Linked DNA regions of Saccharomyces cerevisiae S288C. The main gene of each other region encodes a partner of the protein of the gene in region 2 in a complex. Each region holds a gene or a part of one and is shown on either strand. Other genes may lie near its edges. The genes, in order: NGG1, HFI1, ADA2 and SGF73. A codon is read from its position in the direction of its gene.

Region 1 (8,332 bases), on a different chromosome or scaffold from region 2:
ATCACTGGCGACCATGCATTCTTAAGAATATCTAAACAAATGGCACCTGTCACTGATGATATATTTGGATGGTATACTTTTGTGTCGAACTGCATCTTTGGTGGTTTGAATGGATACTCCATAGGTACTTCGATATCCACGACAAATTTGCCACCCTCGTAAGGTGTTCCAGGTGGGCCCAAAAATGTGCCTTTTAAATGGTGGATATCAGATTCACTCACAAATTCAAGAGTAATGTGAGCTGCAGGATCATCCTTCACAGCTTGGATTTCTTTCATAATTCTCTTAGCCCTAGACATCGCTTACTTCTTACTACTACTACTTATATATATACCACTTGTTTTTTTTAATGTATCCAACCACTAAATTACGATACTTATGTCGTCACACTTGCTTCAATTGACTTTACCTATACGCCCGCGATCGGAAGTTCATGCATTCAACTGTCATCTCATTGTTTTTGCCCCTCCAAATATTTCAGATGGAAGAAAATGTAACAAAAAAGGATATTAATGTTCGTATTATGTGACTATTTTTTTTTTTTTATGGATAGTTATCCAAATTGTTAGTTATATGCGTTATTATGCTACGTATTTTTCCTTAGAGTTCGTATATTTTAATTTAGTTCCACGTCCTTATTAGTGTTTTGTGCAAATACATCGGCTTCATCCTCATCTTCTTCTTGGTCCATGTCCTTGAATACGCTTTCATTGGGGATTCTCTTCATAATTTCAGGTTTATCAAACAATGGACCAATCTTATTAATCCACCTTTGCCTTTTATCCAGAAGGGATTTTAAACTTGAGTTTGCAGCCTTTTGTTGTGCTATTTGAGACGTGGTTCCTGTGTTCACATTATTTGAAGCTGCTGTATGATGCTTCTTTCTTTTCTTGGGTACGCGAATACGTTTGACATAAGCCTGGTCGATTTGTTTGTCTAAATCTTCTAAAATAGATGAGTATTCCTGCCATGCTAGTTGTCTTTCCACTAGTGGAATCAATTGGGCTTTCCTCTTTTGGTTTTTCTTGGTCACTTGTTTTAAAGTGCCTTGCAATTCTCTTAACTCTGCGCTTATTTCGTCGTCTTCTCTACCGGTGACCCAATCGGGGTCATCTGAGTTAGGGTTGTTCTCATCCTTAGGCAAATTCATGTATATCCCTACATACTTTAGTTCTCTTTTCAATCGTTCTTCGAATGTTGGATAGTCCAGGTTAATTCCATTTGTTATCCACCCAATTTGTTGGGGTAACGTACTTGTAGTACCGCCATTACTGCCTTTATTTTCTGCCAGTTTTGCTTGGAAAGATGCTTCCTCATCAATGTCATTGTCAGGTGTTTGAACACTGGGCCCGTTCTCCTGAGATAATGTCATGTCTACAGTATCATTGTTGTTGTTTCTAAACGATTGTATATCGTCTTCCCCTCCGGTTCTCGGTAGTCCGCCATCCCGTATTATTTTAGAAGATTGCAATTCTGATTTGTCATTGTCATCTTTTAATACAGCACTCAACAGCCTAGATAATAAGGGCCCACACGATATACTGCCCGATTCCAAAGCATTATCATCAAGTTCGTTGGCACTTTTTTTTGGTAGTATAGTAGATGCATCGTTTGAATATGGTGAAGGTTTTTTATAGGCAGAATTTTTGTCGTTTTCATCTTTGAACCAAACATCTGTGTATAAAGGGCCTAGTTTCGGTATAATAAACGGGTTTACCTCAGGGTCATAAGTTTTGTCAAATTGCAAGCTATCGGGTATAATATATTTCATCTTCAAAAACTTTAAGTTGTCATCACTAAGATCTTTGAAAAAATTTTCCACAAATGCTAGAAAGGTATTGAATTGAATTTGGTTGGTTGGTTTAGGATGCGAAAAGTCCATATCCGGTAATTCACCTGGTAACAGATCTTTCAAATCATTTGTTGGATAACTAGCTACATTGTATTTTTTTTTTAGGAAGTCTTCTCCTGTACTTTCTAGTCCCTCTTCATTGAATAAGCCGAGTGCTGCTGCTGCTCGAGGTAACGTTTGCGATACTACAAATTCTGATTTTGGATTTTTAACAGTTGGATCGTTTTCCATTTTGTCAACGTCAATTTTTTGCTTCTTATTGTCTGGCCTCTGTGTGTTTTCATTTTCAGTGGCCCTATTTTCAGTTTCAGAATCGAACGGCCTCTTTTCTCTGGGTTGATCTCTATGAACTTGTAAATCTTTGTCTTCATTAATTTCTTCTTTAGCCATATTATCAGCCGCTTGTTTGATGCTTTCTACATCGTTCTCAATTGTGCCGGAGATTTCATTAGAAGGAGGAGGTTTTGGTGGGCTTTGTACCCCTTTATCAATTATATTCGTTTCTTCAGTAGCAGTAGAACTTTCGTGCTGCCCGTCTGCATTTGAAGTTTCCTGCTTTTCATCGTTTGCTTGCTTCTCATTTTTACTGTCTCTTATTTTCCGAAGCGCTTCAATGGTCTCTTGATCACCTCGGGCAATTGTACCCAGTATTTCATTGAGACTATCCAATTGACTTTGCAATTCAAGTAAAGTTTTTTTATTGGGTATGGACCTAACACTTTTGCCATTGAGCATTCCAATATCACGCTCGAAGGTCAAATCTAAAGTTTTAAGCATTGACGATAAAAGCTTTGACGGAGTATTGTCGCCTCCCTCCTTTTTAGGAAGTTTCTCGCCTTTTGGCAGTTTTCCTCTTCTTCCATGTCTAGGCATATGTCCTGTCCAATACTTCTCGTCGCTCCGTCTTTGTTATGTTTTTCCAACTTCCTTATTGTAATCGCTACCACGAATATTTCATTTGATGGCGTTCATTTAATGACTGCCTGCCATTGTTTTGTTGTCGTCGGCGAACCTTTATCGCGTTGCACGTCGGAGCTCTTTAATGAGTTCCGCTAAGAAATTACGCTAAATGGGACCTTTTCTGTAACTGATTCTGAGTATATTTCGATCTGTGAACAAGGCAGTAGAGTTACCGAAACATTTGACACTACTAAAATACTATTCTTAGGAAGATGAAAGTACCATTGGGGTTATGGAAAGTCTCTCGGGGTAATTTGTGGAGCACCCAGAAAAGGGTTTTGACAATGTCTAGATGTTTGAACAGTGATGCTGGTAATGAAGCTAAAACTGTGAGAGAAGGACCAGCTTTTTCAGCAGATCTCTATATGCATCCCGAAAAATGGAAGGGTTTACCTCCTCAAAGAATTTTAGAGTTATATTGGGAGAGAATGGCTAGATTGGGTTCAGAGTATAAACCTAACAAAGACGAACTGAATGCCTTATTAACCACTTCTGAGTACTCAAATGTACCTGTTAACGATATTAAAAAGCTATATCACAGAGGAGAACAAGGCGCTATTGATATAAAAGGTGGAAACGTGAATCGCGATAACAGTCTTAGACCGTTTATGTTTGATGAATTGCCATCGCAAGCTCAGGAATTGGTTGCCCAACATCGTGAACAAAGGTTCTATAATCGATTAGCCGCATATGAGTTACCGCTATTAGCTCAATATCGCCAGGAATACAAGAGACCATCTCCAGAAAGTCATCCGGTCACTTATAGATACACTAGTTATGTTGGCGAAGAGCATCCCAATTCGAGGAAGGTTGTATTAAGCGTTAAAACCAAGGAATTGGGCCTGGAGGAAAAATCATTACATAAGTTCAGAATATTAGCCAGGTCGCGTTATGATCATACTACAGATATTTTTAAAATGTCTAGTGACAAATTTGAGCATGCATCACAAAATGCACGTTATTTGCATGATATTCTTCAAAGGCTGTTAGCGGAGTCAAAAGATTTGACGGAGGACGATTTTAGCGATGTTCCCCTTGACACAAGGCATACTATAGCTAAGAGTTTACGTAAAAAGAAGCGGGATTATGAGTTTCCTGAACACTGGAAACGCCCTGAAGATGCACCAAAGAAGAAATTTGATATTGTAGATCAATTATTGAGCACTCTTTAATACATGTTCAAAAACAAAAAGAACGGCCCCCCTGTATATATTATGTATTTGTTTTGCTTCCTTCTTTTTCTCTAAAATGTACATAGTTTTAGCACAATACAACATTGAGAGGTTTGAAAAGGTATAATCGCAAATTTAGAACTATATACATACATATACACAACGAAAATGAAAAGGAAGATATACTGTTACAAGAGGAGAGGGATAGATACATATATATATATATATATGTGCATACACTATGGGCAAAGCAAGCCCATGCTGCTATATTTTATTCCTTTTTTTATTATTATATTTATTTTAGAAAGACAGTAGAGTAATAGTAACGAGTTTGTCCGTCCATCAAATAGAAGAGTTGGATTTGTCCTTCTTCTTATCCTTCTTCTTCTTCTTCTTCTTCTTTTCCGAAGATCCATCATCATCGTGAGGTCTCTTTTCCACAGGAGGTTCAGCGGCGTGCTGTAAACTGAAAGGAATTGGAACCGGCGCATGAGTTGGACCGTTTTCCAAGGAAGCTGGTGGTAGGGTACCGTTTTTCTTTGCTTCTAAGTATTTGGATTTCTCTCTTTGGTAATTCTCCAACTCGACGTTGTAAGCCTGCTTCCATTTTTCTTTTTCGTTATCACTCAATTCCTTCCATTTCTTGGAGATTTCTTGAGTAATCTCAGTTGAGGATAAAGGTGGCAAGCCAGCCTTTTGTCTGTCTTCACGAAGTTCTTGACGAACGTACGCAGAGTAAGCAAAGAAAACAGTCAGTGGCTTCTTTGGAGCATTTGGATCACGTTCGATCTTTCTTCTTACAGCCTTGACTGGAGCAGCGATAATAGCATCTTTATCATCATCAATAGGGTTAACCAGCTCCGAGCTGATGCCGTGCAAGTGGTTTACACCAGAAGTCAATGTTTGCAAAGACTCAGTCAAAGTGGTGAAAGCCTCTATCTTCTCTTCTTCATCGTCGCCGATGGCATTGTAGAAATCAACAATAGAGGAGGCTGTCTGATTAGCAGCTTTTGATAACTCGAAGAGGGAGGAGACGAGGGAGTCTTTGGCGGACTTCAATTTGACAGAAGGATCTGTAGTCATGGTGTGACAGGCTTGTTGTGTGTGGTAGGATGTACATCCTAGAGTATAAGGCAGTAGACCAGCCCTGAGGGCCCGCTGGGACTAATTGGTACTTCTTGCTAAGTTCTTGAAGGAAGAGAGTGTTCCAGGCAGAGTTGCCCCCCGTGGTACTGGAGAGAATCTGAGTGAATTCCCTTCCGGAAGCTTCTCTCCGCCACAACGGTCGGATGAAAAAAAAAAGCGGGAAAAAAAATGGTGAAAAACCACGTTCTCGAAGCCAATTGGTAGATAATCGAGTCGGGTAATATTTCTCAGAAGTAGGCTGGGTAACTAAGTATCTCACCAAAATGTCTTTATACTGTATACAAATGGTGGGACAAAATGGAATAAGATAAAGCCATTGGAGATCCCTTTTTTACCAGTAATCAGTTAAACAATTTCCATTAGTAGCTTACATGGATATGTGCATACGTGTGCCTAAGTAGAAATTTTTTTCACATGGATACGGTAAACAATTATAGGGTTTTAGAGCATAAAGCTGCTGGCCACGACGGTACTCTAACAGACGGTGATGGATTGCTCATCTTTAAACCGGCCTTTCCGCAGGAACTGGAATTCTACAAAGCCATACAAGTGAGAGATGTGAGTCGAAGAAAGTCTTCGGCTGATGGAGATGCTCCCTTGTGCTCTTGGATGCCCACGTATCTTGGAGTCTTGAATGAAGGGGCAAAAATCGAGCAAAGTGGCGATGCTGCGCTTCTGAAGATAGATGAGCGGTTAAGTGATTCCACTGATAATCTTGATTCAATACCTGTAAAGTCTGAGAAGTCCAAGCAATACCTCGTTTTAGAAAATCTACTATATGGATTTAGTAAACCTAATATACTTGATATAAAATTAGGCAAAACTTTGTATGATTCGAAGGCATCATTGGAAAAAAGAGAGAGAATGAAAAGAGTCAGTGAGACGACGACTTCAGGATCTTTGGGTTTCAGGATATGTGGCATGAAAATACAGAAAAATCCCTCTGTGCTGAATCAGCTTTCGCTCGAATATTACGAAGAAGAAGCAGACAGTGATTATATCTTTATAAACAAATTGTATGGTCGTTCAAGAACCGATCAAAATGTTTCAGATGCAATTGAACTTTATTTTAACAATCCTCATCTGTCGGATGCGAGAAAGCATCAACTGAAGAAAACATTTTTGAAAAGATTGCAGTTGTTTTATAATACTATGCTAGAAGAAGAAGTTAGAATGATATCAAGTAGTCTTTTGTTTATTTACGAAGGAGACCCGGAGCGATGGGAATTACTAAATGATGTTGACAAACTTATGCGAGATGATTTTATAGACGATGATGACGACGATGATGATAATGATGATGATGATGATGATGATGCCGAGGGAAGCAGCGAAGGACCAAAGGACAAAAAAACAACTGGTTCTTTGAGTTCCATGTCACTAATAGATTTTGCACATTCTGAAATAACGCCGGGGAAGGGTTATGATGAAAACGTGATTGAAGGAGTTGAAACCTTGCTAGATATTTTTATGAAATTCTAGATATATTGAGAGGTGAAGTTTACCTTGTTTATGGTATATGGTACAAAAAGAACTAAACTAATTATACGTCTATATATATATATATATATATAACAGCTTTATTAAACCTTGTTTTTTAATATAGAAGAAAATGCTTTATGATCGGTATTATTGTGTTTGCATTTACTTATGTTTGCAAGAAATTTACTCGGCAATTTTAACAATTTTACCAATTGCTATTGTGGTACCTTGATCTCTCAAAGTGAATCTACCTAATTGAGGGTAATCTTGGTAAGTTTCCACACAAACTGGAGCTTCAGTTTCTAAAACAGCGATGACCTTCATACCCTTCTTAGCAAAAGCAGGTGGTTTCTTTGACTTACGGTTGGTACCCTTTTCTAATTTGTGCAATAACTTAACAATATGTACCTCTTCAATTGCTGTATGAACATGCATAACACATGAAAAACCGGCTGCTATGATAGATTTTAATTCTACAATAGCAATTTGAGCTACAAACTTGGTAACACTCTTGATAGGGTTCTTTGGCGATGTTAGTACAAAACCTGGTGAAATGTCTTCTTCTTCAACACCTTTGATTCTTAGTTTAACTTGCTCACCACACATAGCCATATCAACTTCATTTTCAGTTTCGTTGTAAATATTTTGAATTTCCACAGCGGTTTTGTTAGGCATCAGTAGGGTGGATTGACCCTTTTTGATATGACCGGATTCAATTTTACCTTCAACGATGGTACCTAGATCCTTCATCTTAGCGGCAATAGGCAACATGAATGGAGCATTGATGTGACGGTCGACGTGGTTCATTGTATCCAGATATTCTAACAGAGTTGGGCCGGTGTACCATGGGCATTCTTTTGGATCTACGTGATCTTTCAAATTTGCACCACTGTAGCCGGATACTGGCATAAATACAACGTCTGTCTTAATGTTGTAACCAATTGCTCTCAAGAAATTGCTGACATTACTCACACATTGGTCGTAACGTTCCTTAGACCAGTTAACGGTTGGGTCATCCATCTTATTTACGACGACAACCATCTTATTAACACCTTGGGTCTTGGCCAATAGGGCGTGTTCACGAGTTTGACCACCTCTCTCAAAACCGGTTTCGTACTCACCCTTTCTGGCGGAAATGACCAAAACACCAACATCAGCTTGAGAAGCACCACCGATCATCTCGGAAACGTACATTTTATGACCAGGAGCATCCAATATGGTATAACGCCTTTTTTCAGTTTCAAAGTAGGCCTTACCAACTTCGATAGTCTTACCATCATTTCTTTCTTCTTTGTTGGTATCCATGACCCATGACAAGTACCAACCTTGTCTGCCTGCATCCTTGGCTTCTCTTTCATATTTCTCAATAGTTCTCTTATCCACAGAGCCAGTCAAGTATAGTAGATTACCACCCATAGTAGATTTACCGGCATCAACATGACCCATGAAAATTAAAGAAACGTGATCTTTACCACCAAACATATCGTTAACAACTTCGTCATCCACTTCTTCTTCCTGTTCCTTGATCAAGGCATCAGCACTGGTAACATTGGCATTGTTGGTATTATGTGTTGATTCAGAGATTTTAAGGTCTTCTACCTTTGGAAGTTCCGATTTTTCCTCCGTCTTTTCTTCAGTCTGGACTGGTTTCTCCTCCTTTTTAACTGGTTCTTCGACCTTTGTTGGCTCTTTAGTTGGTTCTTTGGTTTCAGCAGACTTC
Region 2 (7,434 bases):
CGTTCTCTTCCGTCGATCTGGAACCAAGCTGTGGCGCTGCGTGGAACCGTCCGGAAATCTACAGAAGCCGTTAGAAGAAAACAGAATAAACACACGTGACCCCGTCAGTGTGGAAAGCCGCGGGATCACCACCGTTATTCGTTTTTTTTAGCACGCGCGCGAAGATGACACATTGCACACCACATGTTTATGACCATTGTTATTACTCATTTCACTGTTATTTTGCATCCACATCCACACCCGGGTGGTTTTGCAATTCGGTAATTACTCCACGGTGCATAAAGAAGCGGCTCTGCGTAAAAAGGTATATATAAGAACAGGACTCATCTTGATTTCGGAAAGGGTCTGGAGCAACTCTCTTTCTTTCTTACTTGTTTTATTCTTGAGAAAACCAAACTAAATTGGCTACACCAAACCAACCAAACTTACACACAATAATATACAATTACAATTATTTACAATGTCCTCTGTGGAATCTTCCCCCATCTCGCGCTATGAAGACGAGGTCTTCCCTCTTTCGTTTTCAAACGTTGCTTTCGAGCCCCCTATGCTCTCGCATAGCCCGGACAGATCGACTTATGCCGATGACTTTTCTCAATCTTACCAGCAAGAATTGCTAACTTTTCCGCTATCGTACCCGATTGTCGATGAGTCAGAATGCACGCACACTAAAGATAAGACGGACAGCAACATAATAACGAGTACTGAAGACGATTGCATGTTCGATATGGAATTTAACGGCAACGCCGCCAGTGCAGTTGCTGCTGCTAGTAAGGAATCTAACTCTGCCTCTGGGTTTGCCTTTGCAAGTAACGATGCCTTTGCCAATGTCGCACAACAGAACTACAGACTGTGGTTGTCATCGGTATGACGCATTTTACCACATCTCTACTTGTTCTCACGACCCCTTGCATCGCATATCCTACACATTTTAAATCGGCATTCCTTCCAAGCATATTCTTAATTCCTAATTTTACATAGTTTTTTTTTTTTTTTAGAGAAAATAACAACAATATACATAGAACTTACTTACTCAATTCTACTATATCTTTTTTTTTTGTTACTATTAGTCATGTTTGCATGACTCCATTACATTTTCGTTTTTTTGCTAGCCAATTCTGGTCGTCGGAAAAACTTTTCATTGAATCTTTCAAAGCGTGTAGCAGTTGCATTTTTTTAAAAATGAATATGTATGCAAAATATATATATGTATATATATGCCTAATATACATAATAATAGAAAAAAAAAACCTCATACGAAATAGGCGCTTCTCGTATCTATACTCAACCCGCCCCCAATGCTGAAAATTGTTACTCGGGCTGGACACACAGCTAGAATATCGAACATCGCAGCACATCTTTTACGCACCTCTCCATCTCTGCTCACACGCACCACCACAACCACAAGATTTCTGCCCTTCTCTACGTCTTCGTTCTTAAACCATGGCCATTTGAAAAAACCGAAACCAGGCGAAGAACTGAAGATAACTTTTATTCTGAAGGATGGCTCCCAGAAGACGTACGAAGTCTGTGAGGGCGAAACCATCCTGGACATCGCTCAAGGTCACAACCTGGACATGGAGGGCGCATGCGGCGGTTCTTGTGCCTGCTCCACCTGTCACGTCATCGTTGATCCAGACTACTACGATGCCCTGCCGGAACCTGAAGATGATGAAAACGATATGCTCGATCTTGCTTACGGGCTAACAGAGACAAGCAGGCTTGGGTGCCAGATTAAGATGTCAAAAGATATCGATGGGATTAGAGTCGCTCTGCCCCAGATGACAAGAAACGTTAATAACAACGATTTTAGTTAATGTCTGCATTTTTACCCCTCATTTGTGCCCCCAATTTCTCCTGTGAATAATCTATATATATATATTTATAATTATAATTATAAGGAAACAAGTCAACTTTATAATATACTCTTAAACAATCGTTTCGCGATATCCTCTGTCATGCCTCCACTGCCAGGTCTTTATTGTTTAGTCTCAATAATCGCAATTAAGTTAATAATATTTGCAATTGCGGCAAAGAAAAAATAGGTAAACAAAGAACTGAAAAAACAAAAAAAACAAAAAAACAATGAATATAGAATATGAAATGCCCTAACAACACACACATACACACACATTCTCCTCGCAAAAGCACCATTTCCTGACCAGTGTACTTTATGGCGTCACAGCAAAACAAACACGCTTTTCTTTCAAAGAATAGAATCTTTCACAATCCCGATAATGTGTCCTCATCAAAATCTCGAAACCTTATGGATATCACAAACACGACAAACACCATGAATGGCTCTAGACCTTCGTCTATGAAGAGTTCATTGGCTCTTCCACCCGTAAAGGATTCCTTCCCATCTGTATCTCGATCTGCATCATTAAACATCAACATGAGCAAAATTAAGGACTTAAAAGACCGCCAAGACAAAATAAGGTTCCAAAGACATACTCTCAGGACTCAATTGATTGAGTGCGAAAGAGAAATCAAAACCATCAAGTTTCGAGATCTCAATAAGTCCAGGTTTGAACTTTATAAGAAAAAATCCAAACAAGCAAAGTATCTCAAACAGGTTAGAGATTTGACGCAAAATCTGAACTCCAAGGACGGTGAACGCGCTGATTTAATTAAGAAGAACAAATCCGCTTTGGCAACCTTGCAGGCTGAACTCGACCAGAATCTGATCTTGAAAAGGCAGGAATCTCAAGAATTGTACAATAATAAGCTTATCTTTTGGGAAAATGAGCTGCAAATAATGGAAAATGTCGAGCCTGACCACGAAATCACAGAGGAAATATCTCAGTTGAAGAAAACGCTGCAAGAGCTCAACATAAATTGGGCGAATTTACAGAAGCAAAACTTGGAAAGACAAGTAAACCACGAATCACAATTGAGGAAGGATTTTATTGCATTCAAAGAAGCTAAGTTAAAATCCATGGAAAATTTGACAAACAAACATCGTGAATTACTTGATCAGATAGCCACTCTACAATCGGAAAGTGAGAAGTTACACAAGGAGATCATGGATATAGATAGACAAGCTGAATATTCGGAACAAAACATCTCAGAAATAAATGAAAATATAAAACAATTGGAATTGGCAAACAACCCACTAATAAGCAAATCCTTACAAAACTCGCAAGATTTGGAACATTTACAAAACCAAATGGAAAATTTGAAAGAAATGGCCTCTAAACAGGAAAAATTTTATAATGATACCTATAACACTGTGGAAAAAGAACTCCTGCGGAGTAGGAGACTTGAAAACTCTATTATTGAACAAAAAGGCACGATGCGCTGTTACGCTTACGTGATGGAGCAAAATTTGCCTGAGAACCTTTTATTTGATTACGAAAATGGCGTAATAACCCAAGGTCTAAGCGAACATGTTTACAAATTTAATAGGGTGATACCGCATTTAAAAGTTTCTGAAGATAAATTTTTCACTCAAGAGTATAGCGTTTACCATGATATGTGCCTGAACCAAAAAAAAAATTTCAACTTAATATCTCTAAGCACCACTCCACATGGCTCATTGAGAGAGTCTCTAATAAAATTTTTGGCCGAAAAGGATACAATATATCAAAAACAATATGTGATCACCTTACAGTTTGTATTTTTATCAGATGACGAATTTTCTCAGGACATGCTCTTGGATTATTCCCACAATGATAAAGATAGCATAAAGTTGAAATTTGAAAAACACTCAATTTCTTTGGATTCCAAACTTGTCATCATAGAAAATGGACTCGAAGATTTGCCCTTAAATTTTAGTTGTGATGAACACCCAAATTTACCTCATTCTGGGATGGGTATAATCAAGGTGCAGTTTTTTCCTCGAGATTCAAAAAGCGATGGCAACAATGACCCCGTACCGGTGGACTTTTATTTTATCGAGTTAAATAATCTGAAGTCCATTGAACAGTTTGATAAAAGCATCTTTAAGAAGGAATCATGCGAGACCCCTATTGCACTTGTTCTGAAAAAACTAATTTCTGATACTAAATCCTTTTTCTTGCTAAACTTGAACGATTCAAAAAATGTCAATAAATTATTAACGATTTCAGAAGAAGTTCAAACACAACTTTGTAAAAGAAAGAAAAAGCTCACTTAAGCTCGGTCACATTATCGTCTTTCTTAACACAGCCATTTAGATATGAAACAAATAAGGTTTATAATCTTTCAATATAATTACAACATACCGCATACACACACTTTTTATACATCAATCTTCCGTTAAGATTCCTTTAATTAACCAATTTAATTCATGCCTTGTACCAACGTTTCTTTCATCCAAAGGCGTGAAAGTCGGCTTTTCATTTAAGAAGTCCGGCAAGTCGTCAATATTGCTCTTCATATCTACTAGTTCATCATCGTTAACTAGCCCTAAATTAGTTAACGCATAGTATGAACCTGAAGGTTCAACCAAATTCGGAAATATAGATAACGAATCATATATGTCTTCATTCGTTAATGATATCGTTCTGTTTTCATGTAACTCCTCATTAACTGCTTCGCCAGCCTTTGTAATGCTGCTCATTGATATGTCGCCAATATCGTCCTTGCTACTGTTATTGCCGTTATTAATACTTTTGGCTTCATCGGCACATTCATCCTCATTTTTATCATCATCTAACTGCTTAATTTTGGCATCGCGTTTATCAGCAGCCATTTCTGATACGGATTTATAAAGCCCACTCTCATTCAAATCATAATAATCTGAATATTTCTTCCTTCTATAACGAACTGTATCAATAGTAAACTCTATTATATTTTTTAGATATTGATCTAGGGCCAATGATATAAGCTCTACGCAACGTGCGTCCACTGTGCCGACTAACCCATGTTCTCTTGCTATACCAACCATTCTTAAGTAAAACGAATCCGTGTCTGGTAAAGAATGGCTTTCGCTCGCTAAAGGAACGTTGAATCCATTCATTATATCTTGTGACCATTCCAGCGGCGTTTTTAAATTATTGCTCTTGACACGCTTCAAACTTTCTGGATTGGTTACAATGGGAATTTTGGGTATATTATTTAATCTGGCTTGAAATACAGAGCAAAAAATGAAGCCTCTTTTGCCGGCCTCTTTCGTGATCATTTTAAGTCTATTTCGATCATTTAGAGGTAACGACATGACAATTTTTTTATAGACTTCAATTTGAGAGTTATGCTTATTGATTCTTTTTAGTTTATTGTTTGGATTGTTGCTTCCATTGCCAAATCCCCAAGAACTCTCATTACCGTTTCTCCCAAGAGGGTTTTCACGTAATGAATTAGCAAAAATCCCTAATAAAAGTTGGTTATGAAGTCGTACTAAACTATGGTGATGATTTGTATTTGATTTTTCTAAGCTTGCAGCGCTTGGTGAAAATACCAGCTCTAATTCATTAGAAAGTTCCTTTCTGGATAACTTCCCTAAAATGAAAAGACTGATGATCTGAGCATATTTCGTCCAGCTTTCTTTTCCCAATAGTGAGGTTAATTCTTCGATCATGGCACCCAAATCAATTCTCTGATTTGGTCCCTGAGGCTCCGCAGTTTCATTGTTACCATTGTTAGGCTCGGTATGATTACTGACGGCAGGACTACCAATTAGGCCCGGCTTCATATATGCATTCGTGGAAGCTGGCGAAGCAGCTGGATAAGTTGGCTGCAGAGGTTTAGGTGCTGGCGATTGTATAGCTGACATGATAGAAGAAATCAAAACTACTGGGCTTGTTTTCCCTATATTTTTATTGAATTTTTATTACCACTTATAGCTCAAAATTTATACTGTGGGAAAAATCACGTGCGAGAAAGTAAGCCCTATCCAATGATGATAACGAACAGACGAATGAAAAGAGCAACGATACTTTGTTAATCTGTTGTAAGTTCGATGTTCAAGGCACAAGTAGACAGAGACAATTTCGCGTTGCACCTACTTCTATCCTGAATTTTATCTTTTTTATTTTAACAAATTTATGTCACATCGTAACTTCAAGTTTCACTTTTTTTGTTCAAAATCGCAACCTGATAATGAAGAAAAAATGGGCGGGAATTACAGCTCGTGTTGAGTGATGATAATAAGAACGTATCTTTTTTTATTCCGTTATCTATATAATGTACATACCTAAGTAGTTAACACATTATCATTGCTATCATGACGTATTTTTAATGTTACAGTGGGAGAAACGTGTCAGCTTTTCTGCTTCAGCGTTCTATGAATCCGTCTATATTTTTTAAGTAATCAGTGTCCCATGAATGCGAATTAGAGTCGTAACTGTTATTTCCATTGTGGAATGGAGTCCTGTCCTATTGTCCTGTTGAAAAAATATTCGAACCAGCAGAAGTATCTTTTCTCTCGTTATTACGAAGGCTAAGCTGTAATAATAAATCATGTATTTCGGATTCATAATTGTCCCGCTGCATGTCCTTTTCTATTTGCAAATTGGTATATTTCAGCTCTAAATCGGATAGTCTTTGCTTCAATGTTTGTATTTCAAAGTTTTTCAAATCCTCCTCCTGATACAGCCGTTCCCTAGAAGTGGCCAGTTCAGCCTCATGACTGATCGTTTGATCAAGGACCTTTTTCAAACTCTTGTACTTCTGACCTAATGAATAATAATTTTCAAAGAGTGTCTTAGATTTCTTCAACTCGTTGACCAGTTCTGCTCTCATTTCCTCGTATGCTTGCTTATAAGTTTGCTCATTCCTGTGGAATTGCTCACGCTGCTCTCTAACATCCTCACACAAATCTTCCAGGTCTCTACTGTTCAAGTCCATTTGTGCAAAAAGATCAAAATATGCCTTTTTATACTCTCTATTCTTGTGGCAAGCATCTTCGTCCCGGACATAGTAATTGTCTATTTCATCACGTTTTGTTAAGGGAGATGGAAATTTGCCTGGTATATCTTTAACCGATAACTTATAGGGCGATCTTCTAACCTCATTAACTCCATCCTTGTTAAATAATTTCGAGAGCAAAGGGTCGTCTTCCTGAGGTGGTATAAAGGGTATCTGCGAATTGGAAAGCTCATTTATAGTTCTCCTTTTTGTGTGTAGTCTGTGACCAAATGTATCCGTAGGTTCGTTACGAAGTGGTTCTCTCGGTACTATCGGAGCAGGACTTCGTAAAGATCGTATTCTCTCTTTGCTGTGGTGGTCACCGTTAACAATTGAGTTAAAGCCGTTCTCGTTGTACTCTGGGAGTAACTCGTACTTCCTATGGAGCGTTGAATCCAGACCAGACCACGAATTTGACCTCGATAAGTTTGTACTCCTCCTGTTGGAGTCATTTCCAAACTTCATAGAAAAATTTGTGTCGTCTTGGGCATACCTAGATCGGTCTCTTCGTTCTTCCTGATCTTTATATTTCATTGAAGGTGATATGTCCGTACCAAACAGCGCATCCTTAGTCCATTTGAAAAGACCAAAAATGCCCCCTCCGCC
Region 3 (7,089 bases), on a different chromosome or scaffold from region 2:
TCCCACGCCCAATAAGGCTAAAAGGATAGAGTTATCCGAGCAATGTAATATGTCCGAAAAATCGGTTCAAATATGGTTTCAGAACAAAAGGCAGGCTGCTAAAAAGCACAAGAACAGTGGCAACACCAGCCATTGCAAAGTTCACTCTAATGATTCGATGTCTATGATATCTTACTCAGACGCTGCGTTGGAAATTACCTCTACGCCAACGAGTACGAAGGAGGCTATTACTGCAGAGTTGCTGAAAACTTCACCTGCCAATACGTCCTCGATCTTCGAAGACCACCACATAACGCCTTGCAAGCCCGGCGGACAGCTCAAGTTCCACAGGAAATCTGTGCTTGTTAAGAGAACATTATCAAATACCGGTCATAGCGAGATTATCAAAAGTCCTAAAGGCAAGGAAAACCGCCTAAAGTTCAATGCATACGAAAGAAAACCCCTTGGGGAGGTCGATCTCAATTCTTTCAAAAACTAATCTTTCTCAGTGTTTATTTTCTTGAGCACTGATGCTATCAATATTAACAAAAACTACACAAAGTAATGACTGAGACTACACCAACGTTTTTTTTTAGATTTAAAGCGGCCTGTTTCATAAATCTATATAGAGATGTAATATTATATTCTTTCAAGGGTCCATTTATCCCTGAAACCCTGTACAAAAAAAAGGCAAGTTGAAATTATGGTCACAAAATTAATTTTCTTTTCTTTATTTATTTTAAAAAAAAGTCAATTAGGAAGTGCTATGGAAATATATGTACTCGTACAAAAAAGATTAAGCTTGAATAATCTTATCAGTTTAAGCTCTTCTTCTACCAGTGGTCTTGGTGTGTTGACCTCTAACACGCAAACCCCAGAAGTGTCTGATACCACGATGAGCTCTGATTTTCTTTAATCTTTCCAAGTCATCTCTCAATTTGGATTCGACGTTGTTAGCCAAAGTGTGGTAGTCCTTACCATCAGTGATGTCATTTTGACGGTTCAAGAACCAAGCTGGGATTTTGTAGTGAGTTGGGTTTTGCATAATTTGAACAATTCTTTCCAATTCTTCTTGGGTCAATTCACCAGCTCTCTTGTGTAAATCAACATCAGCCTTCTTACAGACCAAGTTGGAGTAACGACGACCAACACCCTTGATAGTGGTCAAAGCGTAAACGATCTTAATGTTACCGTCAACGTTAGTGTTCAACAAACTGCGTAAAAAAATTTAGACGGGAAACCGAACTTATTGATAAACGTTAGTAAAAAATGTGCATAATGGATTTCACGGCCAAGACAAAAATCGGAGCAGGATATAAAATTTTAGTGTTGGTTGGTCAATATCCGCCAATAGCTGATTCATTGTAAAGCATTCCCGGTACTTTACCTCCGACCGCTATTGCAATGTTCCGTAATTATGTGCGCTTATGCCAAATTCATGTTCCTTTTTGATGCATAAACCATAAATTTGTTCATCAGCCTTATTATTACGTTCTTAGTCCAGCCCGGGAACATCATTATTATATTTAATCACGTCGTTAGCGAATAATCGCCACGATTAAAGAGGTGAATGAATTTCCTTTCTTGTCTGTCATATTTTTAAGTTTTTAGCCGATTTTGTCATAGCTCACTAGTAATAATAAACATACCGTAAAATGTGTTGGAAGGAACCTTGTTCTTGGACAACTAAAGACATCTTTTATCCGCTCTTGTGTATACGTTCACTAGTATCTCAACGTTTAAAAACTCTACTAATAACATGTAGAGCTATCTTCAATTAACCCTAGCTTTGACAATACTTAGTGGTCGAATGACAGATGTGTCCGACCTGGCTGGGGCGACATTTGCTCTCCCGGGCATGATCTTGGGATGGGCATATGGGACTGGGAAAGGCATCTTTCGGAATCGCAGTTCCCCTGAGCGCGCGTCTCCGCAAGGAAACACCATATGCCGCTTCAAATTTCTAAAAGCAGCATGTAGAATATTTTCAGATAGCATGCATGGGTGCGTAATGTACGGATGTTTAATGTCTTTTTAATCATTGAAATTAAATGTACTTTTTTGTTGCCAGACACGAAACTGTACGCCAGTAAGTGATGTGGATGCTATTTTAAAAAAGTTTTGGATATAATGGCCTGCTGTTCCTAAAATATACTAGAATTAATAATATCGTTCTCAATTTATGCTCATGGGCCGTTTAAAAAAAATACTTTGTAAAAGTTAATTTAAGGTATTGACTGCACAAGTGACAAATTATAACCACATCTCTATTGAAACACTTGCCGTGATCAAGATTATATTATACATGTATGCTATTTAATTTTTTCAAGTCCTATTTTTACTTGTTTTCAGGTGCAAAACTGCTTTAGCGCAATACCGGTAAGAATAACGAAAAAAACTTGTAGTATCAGTACTTTATGCTGCGGGTGATAAAGTTCGATGCGTCAAAATATTACTATATCGTTAACATTATGAGCTTTTACGCGAAGTGGCTAGGTTCTATTTTGTGCTTTTCCTGCGCTGTCAGATATAAGCTTCATTAAGTGATGGGAATCCGAACACGCTTTTTCATCCGGGTATTCTCTTGAAAATTTTTTAGAAAGATCTGGGCGATGAGCTAAATATCAGGAACACACAGTGAACGTGAATAAACACATATCTAAGGGCATAACATTGTGAAATTGACCAGAGATACACACATCACCGATTTCTAATAATGTCGAAGACAAGATACTATTTGGAACAATGTATTCCTGAAATGGATGACTTGGTGGAGAAAGGACTATTCACTAAAAATGAAGTTTCATTAATTATGAAGAAAAGAACTGATTTTGAGCATAGATTAAATTCCAGAGGGTCTAGCATAAATGACTATATAAAATACATTAACTATGAAAGTAACGTCAATAAATTACGTGCCAAGCGGTGTAAGAGAATCTTACAGGTTAAAAAGACGAACAGTCTATCTGATTGGTCTATTCAACAAAGAATAGGTTTTATTTATCAAAGAGGAACGAACAAATTTCCACAAGATTTAAAGTTTTGGGCAATGTATTTGAACTACATGAAAGCGAGAGGTAACCAAACATCATACAAAAAAATTCACAACATTTATAATCAGCTTCTAAAGTTGCACCCAACGAATGTGGACATTTGGATTAGTTGTGCGAAATACGAATATGAAGTTCATGCTAACTTCAAGAGTTGTAGAAATATTTTTCAGAATGGGTTGAGGTTTAACCCTGATGTGCCTAAGCTATGGTATGAATATGTAAAATTCGAGCTGAATTTCATCACTAAGTTGATTAACAGAAGAAAAGTGATGGGTTTAATCAATGAAAGAGAGCAGGAGCTCGACATGCAAAATGAACAAAAGAATAACCAAGCCCCCGACGAAGAAAAATCTCATTTACAAGTTCCATCCACTGGTGATTCAATGAAAGATAAATTAAACGAGTTACCAGAGGCAGACATCAGCGTACTAGGTAATGCAGAGACCAACCCAGCATTACGCGGTGACATTGCATTAACTATTTTCGATGTGTGTATGAAGACTTTGGGCAAGCATTATATTAATAAGCATAAGGGTTACTATGCCATCTCAGATTCCAAAATGAATATTGAACTAAATAAGGAGACCTTGAATTACCTATTCAGTGAGTCACTAAGGTATATTAAACTATTTGATGAATTTTTAGACTTGGAAAGAGACTATCTTATCAATCACGTGTTGCAGTTTTGGAAAAATGACATGTATGACCTTTCGCTCCGTAAGGATCTACCAGAATTGTATTTGAAAACAGTAATGATTGACATCACTCTAAATATCAGATATATGCCAGTTGAGAAACTCGATATTGATCAATTACAATTGTCTGTTAAGAAGTATTTTGCATATATATCGAAATTGGATAGCGCATCGGTGAAGTCATTGAAAAATGAGTATCGTTCATATTTACAAGACAATTATTTGAAAAAGATGAATGCAGAAGATGATCCTAGGTATAAAATTCTAGATTTAATTATCAGCAAACTTTAAATGCGGTACTGTACATTTTATAAATGCAATTACATATCAGATAAATGTTTATTCTTTTAATATTACAACCAAAAAAAAAAAAAAAAAAAAAAAAAAAAAAAAAAATTGGAAAGAACCGATATACGGTATATAAAATCGAGACAAGGTCCCTTTATGACTTGGCCAATAATAACTAGTGACAATTGTAGTTACTTTTCAATTTTTTTTTTGTTACATCCAATTCTGGCTCTGGAAAAAATCGTATATTCTATTCGCTTTTATGGGGTCTATATTAAGTAGTTCCCTACATGCGCTTTTGCTTAGATTACCCCCAGTCTTCAACAGTTCTCTGAACATTACCTCTTTTAGAACGAGATACGGTTTAGGTAAAATTTTCAGTTGAATACAAAGTTGCTGCTCGTCGTTGGACAACAGTGCATAGTCAGGTGCATGCTGTATATCGCTAATGGTCATATTTTTCTTTCTACCGCCATTTTCGCTGTAGTTTTGGCTGTATTCTGCGTTCGACCTATGTGCAGAATTCGACCTATAACGGCTATTGCCCTCACTGAGTGACGCCGCCGTAGAAGCGCCAAATTTCTCGAAACTGCTAATTCTAGCTTGCTTATCTCGTTCATACTTAAGACCTGCTTCTAACGTGGTTAACCCATTGCTTCTCCATTCTTGTAATTGCTGTATTCTTGCCCTGCAATGCAATTCTTCTAATATATCCTTGCTAAATTCCTCAAAATCCTGTGCAGTCATAACACGAGCAAAAGGTTTTATGCGGTTATACAATTCTTTGGCTTCTTTGCTCCTCTTTTTGTCAATAGCTTGCAACTTTCTGTAATCCATTAAATGGTTTTCAAATAATAGCCTTTTCTTTTCTGCTCTGGTTGTCAATCTAGAATTGTAAATGTCCAAGATGGCAAACTTCAATTCAATGTCTAAGGGCTGGTCATCAGGTTCAAAAACCATATCCTTTACGGGACCTTCAGCTTCATTTTCGAATTCTGTTTCAAATTCTAATCTGCCCGGCATAAACCCCTGTACTTCATGGCAGCTAGGAACCGATGCCATGGGCTTTCTTGGAGGCTCTAGCGGCCTCTCCCGGAAGGACTCGATTCTATGCCTTCGCTGTTCCAAAAATTCATCTTGTGGGACATGTATATTTTGGGTAATATCAGGTATTGGATAGTATTTGCTTTCCAGATAATATTTTAGGTAATGTTCCTTAACTTCTTCTTTGCCTCTGCTGCCTATATGGTCAGCAATATCCTGCCAATTACCGAGCCCTAAAGTCTGTGCGCCTTTAATCAACTGCAATTCTTCATCGGCACCCCAATCAGGACAGAGAATGGGGTATGAATTGGTCTCTATTATCCTATAATCATGGTAAGGGCGATGCTTTCCTGTATACGAGCCTTGTGAAAAGCAGGGCACGCATAAGTCGTATTCGGGACAAATAGCACATGAAACCCTCACTCTGTTCGTGCAATCAGCTGAACAAACGTCACAGTGAAACTTGTTTGACATTCTTTTTGCTTAATGTATATATTTTCAGACTACGCTGATATTTTATCGAAAATGGAGGGTGATTAGAGAAAAATTATTTTTATCATTAACCTAAACATCGAACTCTGGCATGTACTTTCCCAATCGTGTTGATTTTCACTTATTTGTTTGGAACGTCTGGAATTTTCTACATATATAAAGCTCCCTGTAACATCCATACATTCGGTTAAAATTACACCCATACATTTATAGTATTTTTTCCATCGTTAGTTTTTCGTATTATGGGCATTCCGAAGAATTTCATCTGGAAGACGCGCATTGATTGATATCGTTTTCTCAGAGGTCGTACCGTTTCGAGATGAGGGAGAAGGTTCAGGCATCGAGGTCTACCGGAGCAAGGCCAGTCCTTCCTCCCGTTAGTACCTCTGTTAAGGGTAAATTTCAAGTAAACAGATATTTTACATATTAATTATTTATTTTGCGTTGTATAACCTAGAGAAGAATAAATAGATAAAGAAAAAAGCAGATAAAAATGGTACGTACCACGAGATGTTGATGAAGCCGGATATGATGGACTGGGCGCTGAACACATGAAATGAGGGCAAGGTTTGCAGAGAGATTGAAAGCGTTATGGGAACGAGGGGACCAGCAGGGCATTCTTATTTATGAGCAGATTAGAAAACTCCATTACTGATTAGTTTAGAAGAGCGCTCAATGAAGTAGTAGATATTTAAAAGATCACCAAATAACCAATTGCTTTCGAATGGCACATTCTATCTTATCCAATGGTCTTGAAGAGAGGTATTTACTAACTTAAGTTGTCTCATTTGATTATTGCTATTTTTATAGGGTAGAGTTAGAACCAAGACCGTCAAACGTGCCTCCAAGGCTTTGATTGAACGTTACTATCCAAAGTTGACCTTGGATTTCCAAACTAACAAGAGACTTTGTGATGAAATTGCAACTATCCAATCCAAGAGATTGAGAAACAAGATTGCTGGTTACACTACTCATTTGATGAAAAGAATCCAAAAGGGTCCAGTTAGAGGTATTTCTTTCAAATTGCAAGAAGAAGAAAGAGAAAGAAAGGATCAATACGTCCCAGAAGTCTCTGCTTTGGACTTGTCTCGTTCTAACGGTGTTTTGAACGTTGACAACCAAACCTCTGACTTGGTTAAATCTTTGGGTTTGAAGTTGCCATTATCTGTCATCAACGTTTCCGCTCAAAGAGACAGACGTTACAGAAAGAGAAACTAAAAAGCATGAATTGATATAGTTATTATCATGTCGTCTGTTTTACTCCATTTCATTGAGGACTCTCCTTATGTATAGTTAAATAATTTCAATATCATCTAAAATATGAAAGATATGATTCATTATTAGGGATGTATTCTCTTAATTATAAGCATTTTGTTACTGAATATAGCACCTTTGATCAACTTTATGAAGCGTTTATATAATATTGAGAATTTCATTAGCCAAAGTTTTAACTTTCTTAATTTTTCCTTCTAGTTGTTGACCCTGTTCTTCTAGGGCATCTGCCCTATCATTGATTACAGAAATAATACCCTTAAATT
Region 4 (7,987 bases), on a different chromosome or scaffold from region 2:
GCACTCCGCAATAAAGAGAATTCCTAACATTAATCACCTTATTTTCTGTTCCGCTACTATTCCTCAAGAGTTTAATAAAACAATGCAAAGACTATTTCCTACAGTGGTTCCTATAATGACACCCAGACTGCATAAGTTACCATTCGCTTTGGACTTTAAAGTTATAAATTCTGCCTTAAGTCCTTTCAAGGGATCCAAGATCAAAGCATTGGCACAAACTTTATATGCTATTTCAAATGATGACACGGAACCAGGGTTCGAGAAAAGATGCATTATCTTTGTTAACGAAAAAAAGAATGTTCCTGAAATTGTTAACCTATTGAATAAGAAATTCGGTCATAATGCCATCGGTTTAACTGGTGAAGATACATTTGAAGAAAGATCCGAGAAAATTATGCCCTTTTTATCACCACCGCGACCACTTTCGGAGGTGGTTGCTCAGAGTACTTCACCTCCCACTTCCTTGAAGAAATTTGAAATTCCTGATTCCAACATCGTCATCGGCAAATTGAAAAACACAAATTCTAATGGTACCGCACCCAGTAACAAGTCTTTGCATGTACTCGTAACCACCGACCTCATGGCAAGAGGGCTCAATTTCAAAGGTGTACGGAATGTTGTTCTCTACGATGTACCCAAAACGTCAATAGACCTGATACACCGAGTGGGCAGAACTGCTAGAATGAAACAGGGCGGCCGCGTATTTATGCTAACTGACAGTAAAACAAAATCTTGGGCTAAAGCTCTTCCAAAGATCATCAAAAAGCACCAGAGATTATCATGATAAATGTATATTCTTGTAAATATTATAACATATATACGAAAGGGTCACAATCACAGATACAATTTATAGATCGAGAGCCTTGCGTATAGCTTCTTTTTTTATAAACAAGTGCCTGGCTAGATGAACGCGCGAACAACAAAATAAATGATGTATTCATTTTAACATCAAAAGATTACGTTCGCCATTTAAGAAGTCACGAAATAGATACAGTAGTAAAGACAGATAAAAAAGAGTCGATTAGACAAGCAAAAATGATTGAAAAGGATAAAAGAACGATTGCTTTTATTCATCCAGACCTAGGTATTGGGGGCGCTGAAAGGTTAGTCGTCGATGCAGCATTAGGTCTACAGCAACAAGGACATAGTGTAATCATCTATACTAGTCACTGTGATAAATCACATTGTTTCGAAGAAGTTAAAAACGGCCAATTAAAAGTCGAAGTTTATGGTGATTTTTTACCGACAAACTTTTTGGGTCGTTTTTTTATTGTTTTCGCAACAATTAGACAGCTTTATTTAGTTATTCAATTGATCCTACAGAAAAAAGTGAATGCGTACCAATTAATTATCATTGATCAACTGTCTACATGTATTCCGCTTCTGCATATCTTTAGTTCTGCCACTTTGATGTTTTATTGTCATTTCCCCGACCAATTATTGGCTCAAAGAGCTGGGCTATTGAAGAAAATATACAGACTACCATTTGACTTAATAGAACAGTTTTCCGTGAGTGCTGCCGATACTGTTGTGGTAAATTCAAATTTCACTAAGAATACGTTCCACCAAACGTTCAAGTATTTATCCAATGATCCAGACGTCATTTATCCATGCGTGGATTTATCAACAATCGAAATTGAAGATATTGACAAGAAATTTTTCAAAACAGTGTTTAACGAAGGCGATAGATTTTACCTAAGTATAAATCGTTTTGAGAAAAAAAAGGATGTTGCGCTGGCTATAAAGGCTTTTGCGTTATCTGAAGATCAAATCAATGACAACGTTAAGTTAGTTATTTGCGGTGGTTATGACGAGAGGGTTGCAGAAAATGTGGAGTACTTGAAGGAACTACAGTCTCTGGCCGATGAATACGAATTATCCCATACAACCATATACTACCAAGAAATAAAGCGCGTCTCCGATTTAGAGTCATTCAAAACCAATAATAGTAAAATTATATTTTTAACTTCCATTTCATCATCTCTGAAAGAATTACTGCTCGAAAGAACCGAAATGTTATTGTATACACCAGCATATGAGCACTTTGGTATTGTTCCTTTAGAAGCCATGAAATTAGGTAAGCCTGTACTAGCAGTAAACAATGGAGGTCCTTTGGAGACTATCAAATCTTACGTTGCTGGTGAAAATGAAAGTTCTGCCACTGGGTGGCTAAAACCTGCCGTCCCTATTCAATGGGCTACTGCAATTGATGAAAGCAGAAAGATCTTGCAGAACGGTTCTGTGAACTTTGAGAGGAATGGCCCGCTAAGAGTCAAGAAATACTTTTCTAGGGAAGCAATGACTCAGTCATTTGAAGAAAACGTCGAGAAAGTCATATGGAAAGAAAAAAAGTATTATCCTTGGGAAATATTCGGTATTTCATTCTCTAATTTTATTTTGCATATGGCATTTATAAAAATTCTACCCAATAATCCATGGCCCTTCCTATTTATGGCCACTTTTATGGTATTATATTTTAAGAACTACTTATGGGGAATTTACTGGGCATTTGTATTCGCTCTCTCCTACCCTTATGAAGAAATATAATGTCTACTTAAATAAATAATGTATACCCCCCGAAGAAAAAATAATTTACATTGGAGAAGAAATCTCTAAATGCAAATAGCGTAACTTGTCCACAAACATAGACGTGTACATGTTACTTCGGCGAATAATTTTTTATTACTCACTTCGTGAACATGCTGGATAACGTGCATGATTCAATTAATTTATTCTGCCATTGTAGGGGTTCACAGAATTTCCAATACCTACTTCAATTCTCCCGTTATTGCCAGAGACATTAATACCGGTAGATACACCTTGCCCGGAGCCATTGACGCTGTTGACACTAGGGGGAGATTGGATACTATTTACGCTAGTATTGGGAGAGCTTATGGAGGCTTTCATCGTCATGAGGTTATTGTTACCGTTTTTACTACTATTATTGTTGTGGGTGCCAGATAAATGGCTATCTTGATTTGATTCTTGCATTAATTTGGTAGCGTTGGCTAAATATGAAGCAGCAGCTTCAAACTTCTGTTGTTGTAGTTGTTGTTGTCGTAGTTTTTGTTGTTGTGATTGTATCTCCAGCGGCGTGAGACCTGTGTCTTGAGACTTGTGCTGCTGCTGCTGCTGCTGCTGCTGAATTTGCTTGCTCGACACATTGGCATTAAATGATGAATTCGTTGCCCCGCCGGGGAAATGATTGGGCACCATACCTTGAGTAGGTTGTTGGGTACTGGCCTGGGCCTGCGCTTGGGGTGAGTGATGTTGCTGCTGCTGTTGCTGCTGTTGCTGTTGTTGAGAAAGAAGCTGAGCCTGTAGAGCTCTCTGTTGTTGTAGTCTTTGTATTTGTTTCGGATTGAGGTTTTGGTTTGTGAGGTGATTAATTGGCTGTGGAGTCCTAACACGAAATTTGTAATCTGTTGTTCTATCCAAATCCAAGCATCCTACACGAGAATGGATCGCACCGTAACCTGGAGATGTATATCCTGGTTTCACAGAAAAGGAGGAAGCAAACATTTCCCTCATTCTAAAATATTTAGTCCTGTATCTAACTGACGATAGTACCGTTGACTCTAGTGGCAGTGGGAAAGATCGGGATACCCCATTTAGAACCTGTGTTGTTTCCTCTTCAGGAGTTAGGTTAACGTGTCCTATCTCATTGATATTGTTACCATTGTGTACAGTACTCTTACCACCATTTTTGGCTGATTTCCCACCATTCACATTTCTTTGCTTAGACCTTTGACCTTGTTTCTGTTGCTGAGTATGTTTTTTCTGCTCTTTTTGTATCTGCTTTTGTAATTTTTGTAATTCTTGTTGCTTAGCACGTTTCTCAGCAGCTGCACCAATTTTTGTTTGATGTTCTCTATGATAATCTGCTAGCAAGACGTCGTAGGGCTTGGAACGACCAGAGACAGCCCTCTTTGCACCCATTGAATGGGACTTACATGTCAGCGAACGTGCACAGTAACCACCTTCCGGCAACTCTACACCACACTGTTTGTTGAAATCAATTAAATGCTTTTCAGTTGGGTTTCTTTGTTTGACTTTCTTTTGTTTTTTTATGGAAGAGCTGAAGGTTTGAGGAGTCCCAGTTTTCGATCTTTTCGTGTCCATATTTGGTGTGTTCGCAGATTCCATAGATGTGGATCTTTTCAAAGGGTTAAAAGAAGAGTCATTCTTCTTGTAATTGGCACCATTGGAATTATCGTCGTCATCATCAGCGTCATCATCATCTTCGTTGTCGTCGTTATCGTCATCATCATCATCATCATTGTTATTATCATTGCTATTGTCATCGTCGTTATTATTTCTCCCAGTTGATTCTACTCCATTTCGTATCGTTTCCCTAGTACTCTCATCTCTTGGATCTGTGCTACTTTTTCCAGATGCTCCCGCACAATGGTTTTCTAAGTGGTCTACAATTGCTGTCAAAGCTAAGGGTTTCCCACATTTTTCGCACACTCTATACTGAATCGGTTTATCCAAAGGATCTTCAATGAGTTGTGCATTCGGATTGAAGTATTTTTTTAGACTTTCGCGATTCATGTGATCATACTGCAAAGGAGTGTCCTTCGCGGACGACATTAAACTTTTCCATGAATCGTTGGAAGGACCACTTCCCTGAGATAAAGAATATTCCTCAATAACTTTGGGCTTAATTCCTTTAATCTCTGCATCGCCTGACCTCATTTTAGCTCTTTACTCTTTTGCGCTTCTCTTGTGTGTTCACTATTCTTATTTTTTTGGTTTATTCCGTTTTGGTAAATTAATCTCTAATGAGCGATGCTGGATATCAAAAAGGTTCTAAATAGTAATTTAGAAATTATTTTACAGCTATGAACAACTATATACGCTCTTCAGCTCCACTTTCTTCTGTTCGTAATGATTTTTGTTTCAAAATTGCTTGTACCAGCAATCTAACATCCTATATTCATTCATTTAGCATTTGCATTATGACGCACCTCTGTTTTCTTCGGGTAACTGAGTGAAAAATATCCATATGCTGAAGCACGCCTATTTATCAATGTTTATTATATTAAAAACTATAGATGGCTCGATGAGGTCTTACGTAAGTTTTTATAGTTCTCGCAAACATGATTGATTAATTGGAAGGCAATGGTAGTACTTCCAGGTAAATTGATATCATTTTTGAATGGAACACGATACCCGCCGGCGTACTTATCCAAAGCTTGAATGATTTCAGTTGTATCAAACCATTGAGCATCCAATAATTCGTCGTCATGATTCAGGTTGATAACCTCATTTTTGGAATTGAATTGAACTATGCCTAAACAGCCAATCATCAAACTGCAAGGGTAAGGCCAGGGCTGTGACCGGACTATATCAATATTTTTGCATGAAATGCCTGTTTCCTCCCATATTTCTCTGATACAAGCCTCCTCTATGGTTTCTGATGGCTCCATAAAACCTGCTATTGTTGAATACAATACAAAATCACCGTACCTTTTTTTTGATCTTGCCAGACAACACTTAGAGTAATCCGAATTGGTCAAGGCTATAATGACCGTTGGATCAGTTCTTGGGAAGCAAACGTTATTAATTCTTGCATCTCTCACATTACAGTATACATTCCGATTTTCATTAGAACACTGAAGCTTAGTTCCTGCCTCTACTGGGAATAACGGAGACCCACAACCGGGACAGAATTTGTACTTTGCTAGCCAATCCAGATACATCTTACCTTGTGAATAAAGTGAAGCATCCTCATTTGTTTGTTTGAAAATGTGATCTCTGGTCACCTTCGGATAGGAAAAAATAGGCTCAAAGTCGACTTTCTTGAAGAGTGTGCTCTCAGTAACACGGATATCTAATCCAAAATATGGTGTTCCTTTGTAAGAAATATTAGACCATTCAAAATTAAATGCAGAATCTGTGCCTTCCAGGAGACCTAAAAATGTTACATTGATGCCTGATTCATCGCTTCTTGAGCGAGTTGTGTTCAATAAAGTAGTGTATAAAGGAACTATTGCTGACAAAATATTCTTGTAAGACTTTACAGAATTAGAAAGCTGAACTAGGTCACCATTTTCGGGCGAAATGAGGGCTTCCCCTTCGATAAATGGGATAAAAACGGTAGAGTCATGGTTCAATGATTTTTTGATGAACTCTTTCGAACATCTTAAGAACGAAACTCTGTTCAAGACATGCTGGCCAAAAAAAGTCACAGCAGTGGACATTCTCTCAACTAACCGTAGCGTAATCAAAAAAAAATCAGGAGCAAAAAGGTACAATCTTTATCTTCTCTTTCGTTTCGCTCCTGCTCTTGTTCTTTATTCTTATGGTTGGTGGGCTTTATATTTCGAAGAAAAGCAACCGCTTTTGTAAGTTGGAAAAGTAGATTTATGAAGTGATAGATTAGCCCGTCTGAAATACTTATAACACGAAAACGAATGCCATAATGAAGTTGAAGATACTATAGAAAATAATAAGGAAATCAATCATTTTTATACATCTACTTGCAAGAAGCGATGTGGCAAAATATATAAAAGGCAGGACGAAAGAAGAATAAAGAGTTAAACATATTTACATGATATATTCCTTATTTTCTCGAAGAGAAAACAGACTATTTTGATTAACACGATTGGTAGATTGCTACAGTTTTAAAATCATTCTAAACTGACCTTAGCTCCTAAGTCTTCCAAGGTTTTCTTAATCTTTTCAGCATCATCCTTGGCGACATTTTCTTTCAAGACCTTTGGTGCAGCTTCAACGAATTTCTTAGCTTCAACTAATGAAAGCCCCAATAATCCCTTGACTTCCTTGATGACTTTAGCCTTAGTCTTCGTGTCGAACGAGTCCAACTTCACCGTAAACACGGTCTTTGCCTCAGGCTTAGCTTCTTCTTCAGCACCACTACCAGCTTCACCAGTGGAGCTAGGTACATTACCAGCACCTGCGCCTGCAGCGCCTGCCATGAATCCGCCCATAGGCATGGAAATTTCTGGAATGTTCAATACGGTTTTCAGCTCGTTGATTAAACTGGAAGTTTCCAAAAGAGTCAATTGTGAAATGTCCTGTACAATTTTAGAAATTTTAGGATCAACTGGCCTTACATCATCCTTATGTGATGGTGCTGTTGTAGTCGTAGAATTGAAACGGGTTGTGATAGTAATAGGAGAAATTAGCGCTGGTGTAACGCGCGTTTTCATCCAGATAGAAGAAGATCTCTTCGCTAGTATACGTAAGGACATACTGGGCGCTTATTTAATTGACTGTGTTTGCTGCTGACGGGCTGCTTGTCCTGTTCCTTCCAGAACTTACCGAGTTCTTGTTTGCCATTAGTTTGAGTTGTTTTATTGGACTTCAAGACATAGGGCGGGTAAGTTGAAAAATTTTGTTTTGGTGAATAGCGTTAAAGAGTAAGTCAAATGGAACAAGAGCAGATTCTAGGTAGAACGAAAGTTACAAAATCTAGCCAAAAGAGCAAGTTAAACTCCCCTTAAAACTGCTATGACTACGTTTAGATTTTGTCGTGACTGCAACAATATGTTGTACCCTCGTGAGGATAAAGAAAATAACCGGTTGTTATTTGAATGCAGAACATGCTCGTATGTAGAAGAAGCGGGCAGTCCATTGGTCTACAGGCATGAATTGATTACCAACATTGGTGAAACTGCGGGAGTGGTGCAAGATATTGGTTCCGATCCCACTCTTCCGAGATCTGATAGAGAATGTCCCAAATGTCACTCTCGGGAAAATGTGTTTTTTCAATCACAACAAAGAAGAAAGGATACTTCGATGGTTTTATTCTTTGTGTGCTTATCTTGCTCACACATATTTACTTCAGATCAAAAAAACAAAAGGACGCAGTTTTCATGAGTGCTCAACGAACTTTCAAAATTAATGACAGAGGGAGAGAAAATGGGACTTATCTTCACGTATGTCTTGTATGTATGAGAAAAGCACTACTATTTACACCAGCCTAATCTACCGGCAAAAGGATGATGTGAAATAACAG

What was found.
Region 1: HFI1 (region 2) and NGG1 share a complex: the UniProt entries of both Saccharomyces cerevisiae proteins name them as parts of the ADA/GCN5 complex.
Region 3: HFI1 (region 2) and ADA2 share a complex: the UniProt entries of both Saccharomyces cerevisiae proteins name them as parts of the ADA/GCN5 complex.
Region 4: the proteins of HFI1 (region 2) and SGF73 are in contact, whole or in part, in a cryo-EM structure (PDB 6T9I), measured with the Saccharomyces cerevisiae proteins. Residues at the interface, in NP_015069.1 of Saccharomyces cerevisiae: Tyr181 (codon at 5,155), Lys183 (codon at 5,149), Ile184 (codon at 5,146), Ser187 (codon at 5,137), Leu188 (codon at 5,134), Arg195 (codon at 5,113), Met198 (codon at 5,104), Ile199 (codon at 5,101), Lys201 (codon at 5,095), Glu202 (codon at 5,092), Ala203 (codon at 5,089), Arg206 (codon at 5,080), Phe208 (codon at 5,074), Ile209 (codon at 5,071), Phe210 (codon at 5,068), Phe214 (codon at 5,056), Gln215 (codon at 5,053), Ala216 (codon at 5,050), Arg217 (codon at 5,047), Leu218 (codon at 5,044), Asn219 (codon at 5,041), Asn220 (codon at 5,038), Ile221 (codon at 5,035), Pro222 (codon at 5,032), Lys223 (codon at 5,029), Ile224 (codon at 5,026), Pro225 (codon at 5,023), Ile226 (codon at 5,020), Val227 (codon at 5,017), Thr228 (codon at 5,014); in NP_011449.1 of Saccharomyces cerevisiae: Pro354 (codon at 3,639), Glu355 (codon at 3,636), Glu357 (codon at 3,630), Thr358 (codon at 3,627), Thr359 (codon at 3,624), Gln360 (codon at 3,621), Val361 (codon at 3,618), Leu362 (codon at 3,615), Gly364 (codon at 3,609), Val365 (codon at 3,606), Arg367 (codon at 3,600), Ser368 (codon at 3,597), Phe369 (codon at 3,594), Pro370 (codon at 3,591), Leu371 (codon at 3,588), Pro372 (codon at 3,585), Leu373 (codon at 3,582), Ser375 (codon at 3,576), Val377 (codon at 3,570), Leu378 (codon at 3,567), Ser379 (codon at 3,564), Ser380 (codon at 3,561), Val381 (codon at 3,558), Arg382 (codon at 3,555), Tyr383 (codon at 3,552), Arg384 (codon at 3,549), Thr385 (codon at 3,546), Tyr387 (codon at 3,540), Phe388 (codon at 3,537), Arg389 (codon at 3,534).

The regions. Positions count from the first base shown.
Region 1 is NC_001136.10:808,845-817,176, reverse strand, and holds NGG1 (histone acetyltransferase NGG1), read right to left. Parts: upstream 2,726-8,332; coding exon 617-2,725; downstream 1-616. Other genes in the region: E2 ubiquitin-conjugating protein UBC1, read right to left, coding at 1-299; mitochondrial 37S ribosomal protein mS35 RSM24, read left to right, coding at 3,025-3,984; HMO1 (Hmo1p), read right to left, coding at 4,327-5,067; ARG82 (inositol polyphosphate multikinase), read left to right, coding at 5,545-6,612; SUP35 (translation termination factor GTPase eRF3), read right to left, coding at 6,796-8,332. UniProt on the Saccharomyces cerevisiae protein: Component of the transcription coactivator SAGA complex. SAGA acts as a general cofactor required for essentially all RNA polymerase II transcription. At the promoters, SAGA is required for transcription pre-initiation complex (PIC) recruitment.
Region 2 is NC_001148.4:67,746-75,179, reverse strand, and holds HFI1 (Hfi1p), read right to left. Parts: upstream 5,696-7,434; coding exon 4,229-5,695; downstream 1-4,228. Other genes in the region: ATG41 (Atg41p), read left to right, coding at 461-871; YAH1 (adrenodoxin), read left to right, coding at 1,299-1,817; VIK1 (Vik1p), read left to right, coding at 2,174-4,117; BBP1 (Bbp1p), read right to left, coding at 6,298-7,434. UniProt on the Saccharomyces cerevisiae protein: Component of the transcription coactivator SAGA complex. SAGA acts as a general cofactor required for essentially all RNA polymerase II transcription. At the promoters, SAGA is required for transcription pre-initiation complex (PIC) recruitment.
Region 3 is NC_001136.10:1,354,509-1,361,597, reverse strand, and holds ADA2 (chromatin-binding transcription regulator ADA2), read right to left. Parts: upstream 5,534-7,089; coding exon 4,229-5,533; downstream 1-4,228. Other genes in the region: YHP1 (Yhp1p), read left to right, coding at 1-478; 40S ribosomal protein uS13 RPS18A, read right to left, coding at 800-1,193, 1,629-1,675; snoRNA-binding rRNA-processing protein UTP6, read left to right, coding at 2,696-4,018; 40S ribosomal protein eS17 RPS17B, read left to right, coding at 6,045-6,047, 6,362-6,769; ECM11 (Ecm11p), read right to left, coding at 6,965-7,089. UniProt on the Saccharomyces cerevisiae protein: Component of the transcription coactivator SAGA complex. SAGA acts as a general cofactor required for essentially all RNA polymerase II transcription. At the promoters, SAGA is required for transcription pre-initiation complex (PIC) recruitment.
Region 4 is NC_001139.9:374,320-382,306, reverse strand, and holds SGF73 (deubiquitination module subunit SGF73), read right to left. Parts: upstream 4,699-7,987; coding exon 2,725-4,698; downstream 1-2,724. Other genes in the region: MRH4 (ATP-dependent RNA helicase), read left to right, coding at 1-784; ALG2 (GDP-Man:Man(1)GlcNAc(2)-PP-dolichol alpha-1,3-mannosyltransferase), read left to right, coding at 1,036-2,547; NPY1 (NAD(+) diphosphatase), read right to left, coding at 5,052-6,206; mitochondrial 54S ribosomal protein bL12m MNP1, read right to left, coding at 6,636-7,220; DNA-directed RNA polymerase II core subunit RPB9, read left to right, coding at 7,480-7,848. UniProt on the Saccharomyces cerevisiae protein: Component of the transcription coactivator SAGA complex. SAGA acts as a general cofactor required for essentially all RNA polymerase II transcription. At the promoters, SAGA is required for transcription pre-initiation complex (PIC) recruitment.